2 linked regions of the Anolis sagrei genome follow. Each later gene encodes a partner of the first gene's protein in a complex. Links are inferred from orthologs where the notes say so. Each region holds a gene or a part of one and is shown on either strand. Other genes may lie near its edges. The genes, in order: QRSL1 and GATC.

What was found.
Region 2: QRSL1 (region 1) and GATC share a complex: the UniProt entries of both Homo sapiens proteins name them as parts of the heterotrimeric GatCAB amidotransferase (AdT) complex. The link is inferred for Anolis sagrei from reciprocal best matches to the Homo sapiens genes QRSL1 and GATC.

The regions. Positions count from the first base shown.
Region 1 is NC_090021.1:95,337,744-95,341,657, forward strand, and holds the start of QRSL1 (glutamyl-tRNA(Gln) amidotransferase subunit A, mitochondrial), read right to left. Parts: upstream 3,134-3,914; 5' UTR 3,033-3,133; coding exon 3,009-3,032; intron 1-3,008. Other genes in the region: RTN4IP1 (reticulon-4-interacting protein 1, mitochondrial), read left to right, coding at 3,717-3,914. UniProt on the Homo sapiens protein: Allows the formation of correctly charged Gln-tRNA(Gln) through the transamidation of misacylated Glu-tRNA(Gln) in the mitochondria. The reaction takes place in the presence of glutamine and ATP through an activated gamma-phospho-Glu-tRNA(Gln).
Region 2 is NC_090034.1:46,653,966-46,657,879, forward strand, and holds the start of GATC (glutamyl-tRNA(Gln) amidotransferase subunit C, mitochondrial), read right to left. Parts: upstream 2,504-3,914; 5' UTR 2,371-2,503; coding exon 2,299-2,370; intron 1-2,298. Other genes in the region: TRIAP1 (TP53-regulated inhibitor of apoptosis 1), read left to right, coding at 2,517-2,677. UniProt on the Homo sapiens protein: Allows the formation of correctly charged Gln-tRNA(Gln) through the transamidation of misacylated Glu-tRNA(Gln) in the mitochondria. The reaction takes place in the presence of glutamine and ATP through an activated gamma-phospho-Glu-tRNA(Gln).

The sequences.
Region 1 (3,914 bases):
AGAATAATCTATGCGTACATGCATTACTGTCTTGATTTCCTTGCAAAGATAAGTCAATGTGTACTTTATATTTTGAATATATGCTTGATTTAAACATGGTTGTGGACTTTGTAGACTTTGTAGAGAAGCTAAAGCGATCATATATATGTATGTGTTGAGAAATCTGAATCTGAATGAAAATAAGTGAATATACAAGGATTATATTCAATAGGCATGCAATAGTTAAATGGGGATCATCACTTTATTTCAAACACAGAATAGTCTGAAATGACAGTGTAAAAGGATGTAGAAGACCTGCTTTCCTTGGTCCTGAAGTCTTCTCAGGAGGTTTTGCTAAGGGCCCCTCCACACAGATATATAATCCAGAATATCAAGGCAGATAATCCACACTATCTACTTTGAGCTGGGTTATCTGAGTCCACACTGCCATATAATCCAGTTCAAGGTGGATTTTATACAGCCGCGTGGAAGGGGCCTAAGAGTACCTCTTGCTGAAGAGATGCTGAGAGAGACTGTAATCAAGGGCTGTCTAACCTGATATCCTGCATCTGTTGGAGTGGATGTTCCATTATGGAGGCACTTTTGGCAGTGGGGTGACAAGAGAAGGATGGGGAAAGCTAAACACAGATGTTTGAGGACATGGTGTGCCAATGCTCAAGAATGCTCACCTGGGAACACAGATCTGTATTTATCTAACCAGAAGTAAATTCTACTAAGCTCAATGACACTACTTCTTAAATAAATGCAGACATAATTGCAGTGCTGCACATCACAGGTGGGAGCTGGCATGCTATAGAAGTTGGCTTGTTAGACTGCAACTCTGGAAACTGGAGTTTGAATCCCGACTTGGCTACAGAAACCCATTAGGTGACCCTGCAAGTCACACACTCTCAGCTTCATAGGAAGGCAAAAGCAATACCCTCCCTACAAATCTTGCCAAGAAAACCCCCTGGTAGGTTCATCTCAGGGTTGCCATAACTCATAAATTACTTGAAGGAGCACACCACCAACAACAGCTTTTCTTCTTTAAAAATCCCATTACAAAAGCTGTCTCTGAATTGCAATGACTGAGTTTGACTGTTTTGGTAGAAGACTGGAATATAAATAAAATCAAAAGCATCCTTGTCACATGGCATAGCTGTACTTGATTTTGTTGTATTACTCCAAGGACTTTAAGTGCCCCCATCCAGGTCCAAATAACTTACAAGGCACCAAATCCTATCTGGCCTTGGAAGCTAAGCAGGGTCACGTCTGTCAAGGAACACAAAGGGCTGCAGGCTGTATTTCCAAGGAAGGAGCCTCTGAGTATTCTATAAGAAACCCTTAAGGAATTCATATATTGACAGGTGACTTGAAGGCACAGGCAAACACTCCAACAATTCAATGCCAAGCATGATATAACACATAATAAATACATCCATACATTAAATAGTTAAAAAATACACATTAGAACTAGCTCGCCAGATTACAATTTCCATATTTAAATTGTCATCCAAAACAGCCCAATAAATTCTTGTCTTCCCAGTAAAACAACTAGTCTGTGAACTCTTGATCCTATAACCAGCATTTAAGTTTTGTCTGGAAGGTCAGAAGGGAGGGGGCAGATCTAACCTCATTAGGGAGGGAGTTCCACAGCCGAGGGGCCACCACGGAGAAGGCCCTGTCTCTCATCCCCACCGAACAGGACTGCGATGGCGGTGAGACTGAGAGCAAGGCCTCCACAGATGATCTTAAGGTCCTAGATGGTTTGTAGAGGGAGATACGTTCCAAGCTCAATGCTATGGAAACAGGAGTGTTGCAGTTTTGCAAGGCATTTCACCTTCTCTGCCCAATAGTTCTGGTGCCTTACTAAACTGCAGCTCCTATACTCCCATAACATTGAGCCATGGCAGTTAAAGTGGTGTCAAACTGCATTCATCCTACAATGTAGATACAGCCTCTTTCTGCTGGTGTGTGAGCAGGTGGGCTATAGCATGTCTAACAATGATAGGAAGGGTCACCACAGTGAAAACTGAAGGCTGCTCTTGTACCTTTAACATCTGTTCAGAAGAGAGCGGGCAAGGCATAGTGGTTTGAGCACAGGACTACAACTCTAGGGAACATGGTTTAACTCCCTGCTTGGCCATGGAAACTCTTTGAGGAACCTTGGGCAAGTCACTCTCTGCCTCAGAAATAAGGTCACCTTAAGAACTTAAAGGCACACAACAACAGCAATGAAAAAGAGGGAATTTCAGGAAGTGTTCCTGGCAGAAGCTTCACCTGTTGTGTTCCTGCTGGTCAGGTAGCTATGGGCCCTTCCAGACAGGCCCTATTTCCTAGGATTTGATCCCAGGTTTTCTCCTTTAAACTGGATTATATGAGTCTGGGATAAACAGAAAACCTGGGATCTGATCCTGGGCTAGAGGGCCTGTCTGGAAGGGCCCTATGATTACCAGAGTGAAAACTGGAGGCACCATTTCAGGGACCCAGGAGCAGCCTCCAGTTTTCACTGTAGCAAGAGCAGCTTCCTGACAAGCAGAATTACAACAGGTGAAGCTTCTCCCAGTGTAGCCATTGGTGTAGCCACATGAACCATTGAGCTGGAAGGGACCCCAAAGGTCATCCAGTCCAACCCCATTCTGCCAGGCAGGAATGCCTCTTCCTTCATGTACCTGCAGCACAGATGAGGCCAAAACCCAATTAGGCCTTGGATAAAATCCCACATTTTCTGCTTTGAACTGCGTTATATGCCAGTGTGGACTCATATAACCCAGTTCAAAGCAGATATTGTGGGATTTTCTGCCTTGATAGTCTGGGATATATGGCTGTGTGGAAGGGCCCTCAATTAACCAGTTCAAAGCAGATATTATGCATTATCAGTTATATGGTTGTGTGGAAAGGCCCTTAGGTGGCCAGGTTGCCAAGCAAGAGACTGAAAGGTGCTCCCGCCAATGAAAGTGAGGAGTCAATCTCTTGCCCCGCCCACCGGAGGGAAAAGAGCCAATCCCACCCGGCGTGTCCTCCCTCACCTCTCGGATCGAAGCGCGCAGCATCTTCCTCGCGGAGCCGGGCGGAACGTTCCGCGAAGCCCTATTCGGCACCCGTCCCTGCCTCCCGGTAGTGACCGAACAGGCTCATGGGCGCCGCCATCTTGAAGCCGCATGCTAACATCAGCGCCGCTGATTGGCTCAAGTCTTGTAGGAAGGGAATGTTGCCGTGTTGTTATTGGCCCCGGTGGCAGACCGTCCCTCTCGTGGAACTGAGAAAGGGAGTTTGTCTGAAGGAGACTTAGGGGAGAGAGAGTTCCGTGTCTGGAGGCTGCAAGTTTTACCTCATGGGGAGGGCGGGGGTGCCAGGCAATGCATTTCGGGAAAATAGGGCCTGTGGGTGACATAATCTGAAGGGAAGGAGCCGCCCTTCTTCCCCCCTCAAAACCCACCGAGCTTTACTTTCTGTGAACCTCAGAAATCTCCTTTCTTGGAAAACCCAACGAATTGAAGTAAATTCAACTGGAAGGCAACAACTGCTTCCTTCTCTGTCTTCCTAGGTCTATTTTACATTTTGATAAATGGAAATAATGTGAGAGATGCTCACTTGAAGGAAAAGGAGCAAAGCTAGAAGTTATCATCTTGAGATATCACGATTCAGTTCAGATTTGTGGGAAAGGGTGCCTTTGAGCTGCCTTCACGAACTTCTGGGTTGCTAAAGCAGCTTAATCTCTCCCCTTCGCCTTCACCATGTTGCCCAGGAAAGTGTTCAGCCTGTTTTGGGCCAGGCCTGGTTGCTTGGCCTCTCTCCCTGGAAGGGGAGCAGGCCCTTGCCCGCAGCCTCTGGGCCGATGCCTGCACGCCTCCTGCCCACGTTGGACCACGATGCCCTCCTGGGTGATCGACCGGTACGGGAAGAATGATGCCCTCCGCTTCACCAGCAACATG
Region 2 (3,914 bases), on another chromosome or scaffold:
CAATTGCAAAATGTGCTGAAGGATGTCTTGCACAAACAAAGTTTTGGCAGTGCAATAAACTTTTCCCATGTTTTTATGATAGAACCAATTAGGAAATGACTGCTAACTTAGGAACAAAAGCTGTTACATAGTTAATCATAATCATTACTATTATGTTTATTTATATCCCACTTTTTCTCACTATATGGAGACTCAGACCCCTTCCACAAAGCTGACTAAAATCCTACATTATCTGCTTTGAACTGGAATACTTCGCAGTGTGGACTCAACCTAATTCAAAGCAGATCTTGTGGGATTTTCTGCCTTGATATTCTGGCTTCTATGGCTGTGTGGAAGGGCCCTCAAAGCGGCTCACAACTAAAGCATTGCAATACAACTTTTATTATAATAGCTATTTATAAATAAATATATTTTGTCCTGGGCCCAGTCCTCCTATTCAATATCTTTATAAATGACTTAGATTAAGGGTTAGAAGGTATGATCATCAAGTTTGCAGATGACACCAAATTAGCAGGGATAGCCAATACCCCAGAAGAATTCAAAACAATCTGAACAGATTAGAGAGATGATGGGCCAAAACGAACAAAAAGAAGTTCAACAGTAACCAAGCTACTCCACTTAGGCAGAAAAAATGAAGTGCAAAGAGACTGAATGGAGGATGCGTGGCACGACAGCAGTACATGTGAAAAAGATCGTGGAGTCCTTGTTGACAACAAGTTAAACATGAGCCAACAATGTCATGTGGCGGCGAAAAATGCCAATGGGTTTTAGGTCTGCATAAATAGGAGTCTAGTGCCTAGATCCAGGGAAGTCATGCTACCCCTCTATTCTGCCTTGGTCAGATCACACCTGGAATCACACTGTGTCTAATTGTGGGCACTGCAATTAAAGGGAAATGTTGACAAGCTGGAATGTGTCCAGAGGAGGGCAACTCAAAGGATCAAGGGTCCGAAGAACAAGCCCTACAAGGAGTGGCTTAAAGAGCTGGGCATGTTTAGCCAGAAGAAGAGAAGGCTGAGAGGAGATATGATGAGGGCCATGGATAAAGATGTGAGGGGAAGTCATAGGGAGGAGGAAGCATGTTTGTTTTCGGCTGCCCTGGAGACTAGGATGCACTGGCTTCAAACTACAGGAAAGAAGATTCCACCTGAACATTAAGAAGAACTCCCTAACAGTGACAGCTGTTCAGCAGTGGAACTCTCTGCTTTGGAGTGTGGTGGAGGCTCCTTCTTTGAAGGCTTTTAAACAGAGGTTGGATGGCCATCTATTGGGGGTGTTTTGAATGTGATTTTCCTGCTTCTTGGCAGGGGGTTGGACTGGATGACCCACGAGGTCTCTTCTAACTCAAGGATTCTATGTTTCTATCAAATCTATTACAATATATTCAATGCTAAAAATCTTAACAGTAGCTACATCTGTATGGTCTTAATAAAAGCTTGCTTACAGGTACATTACCATTGTAGGAGGAAATAGTTTAGTTGCGGTTAAGCCTAAGACATATCAAGATGGAATTTAGTAGGTTGCTTTGCATGGTAGTCTGGTCCTACTTTTTGGACTATATAGAGTTATGCCAAATGTCAGCATTAATTGCATCCAAATAAGAACACACAAATTATATATAATAGGAGATTATCCGTGTTTTATGCCAGTGCAGTGTGAAATCATCTTTGTGTGCGACACACACACACATCTAGATATGGAGCAAGAACAGTTGACCATTTATCATCACAGAGGATCTAAATTGAGACCAGATGTCTTTCTGAAAAGCACTCTGGAGTCCAATATATGTTATAGGGCTCAATAATATCTGCCCCATGGTAGGAAAAGAACTTCCTAACTGTGAGAGCTGTTCAGCAGTGGAACTCTCTGCCCCAGAGTGTGGTGGAGGCTCCTTTGGAGGCTTTTAAACAGGTTGGATCGCCATGTTCGGTGGGGGCTTTCAATGTGATTTTCCTGCTTCTTGGCAGAATAGGGTTGGACTGGATGGCCCACGAGGTCTCTTCCAACTCTAGGATTCTATTTATATTCAAAGCGGCCTTAGTATACAATTGTAAATATACAAATAATATATATTACTCCATTTGTTTGTTTGTTGGAGAGAATGATGATAGGAGTGTTAGCACCATTTATGCCTCAATCCCCTGCTTGCCTCTCTAGATAGAGACCCAACCTTTAAAGCCATTCAAAGCCTACGAAGTAGACATGCTAAAAAAGAAGCTGCGGCTTGAGCTGGGGTGAGGAAGCCCTTTGCGGCGCTCTGCACGCGCTCAGAGGCACCCTGGCCAAGCCAGTTCTTACGCTTCCCGGCCGAGGAGGGACCCAAGTGCCAAAAGCCGCTCTCAAGACCCAAGAGGCGCTTGCGATCCTCATGCTGAAGCTCCAGCGCCGCTTCCTGGCTCGACTTCCTGTTCCGGGGGCCAGACAGGAAGTGACGGTCTATCCCTGCGCCATGGTCTTGCTCGAGAGGGAGGGGGCGCTGCTGCTTCTGCTGTTTGTCTTCCTTTGGCTCCGCCGCCATGAACAGCGTGGGCGAGGCTTGCACGGAGCTGAAACGGGACTACGACCAGTGCTTCAACCGCTGGTTCGCCGAGAAGTTCCTGAAGGGCGAAGGCGGCGGCGGCGGAGGAGGAGGAGGAGGCGAGAGCGGCGGGGAGCCCTGCCTCCAGCTCTTCAAGCGGTACCAGCTCTGCGTCCAGGCAAGAGGGCCCCGGGGCATGCGCAGAGGGCGGGCGGGCAGGCGGGCTATCCTGCGGCTGCCTAGGAGTCCTTTGGAGTCCCCTTCTCCGGAGGCTTTGAAGCGTTGGCTGGCCATCTCCCATAGTGTCTCCCTACCGAACATCCTGGGGTTGGGCTGGATGACCCTTTGGGAGTCCCAAAAGGACTAGTGCCTCACCATACTCCCAGGATTCGATACCATTCCAGTGGTGACATCAATTTCACAGTGTGGAGATGCACCCGCAGTTTCTCTGGGATCATACAATCATAGAATTAGAAAAGACCCCATGGGTCATCTAGTCCAACCCCCTGCCATGCAGGAAAAGCACAATCAAAGCACACCCGACAGATGCCCATCCAGCCACTGTTTCAAAGCCTCTGAGGAAGGAGCGTCCACCACACTCTGAGGCAGACAGTTCTGTCGTTGAGCACCTCTTCTTACAGTCTTCATAATCATAGAATCATAGAATTGGAAGAGACCTCATGGGCCATCCAGTCCAACCCCCTACCAAGAAGCAGGAAAATTGAATTCAAAACACCCCTGACAGATGGCCATCCAGCCTCTGTTTAAAAGCTTCCAAAGAAGGAGCCTCCACCACACTCCGGGGCAGAGAGAGAGTTCCACTGCTGAACGGCTCTCACAGTCAGGAAGTTCTTCCTCATGTTCAGATGGAATCTTCTTTCTTGTAGTTTGAAGCCATTGTTCCTTGTCCTAATCTCCAGGGCAGCAGAAAACAAGCTTGCTCCCTCCTCCCTATGACTTCCTCTTGCGTATTTATACATGGCTATCATGTCTCCTCTCAGCCTTCTCTTCTTCAGGCTAAACATGCTCAGGTCTTTAAGCCGCTCCTCATAGGGCTTGTTCAGGTGGAATCTCCTTTCCTGTCATTTTTACTTCCTAGTCTCAGTTTCAAGGGGAGCAGAAAACATGACGCCCTTTCCCATATTGATATATGGCTCTCATGCCCCCTCTCTTTTCTGCAGGCTAAACAGACAAGTTCTTTAATACGCTCCTCAGAGCGATTCATGGTTTCCAGACCTTTGATCATTTTAATTGCCCTCCTCTGGATAGGGCAGAGGATTCTGGATCTCTAAAGGCCAAGCGATCACTTTGTTTGCTCTCCCAGATAACGCTTTTTACTGGCCCAGACTGACTCCCCTGGCAAGACAGATTGGCTCATCCAAATCGCTAGGATCCT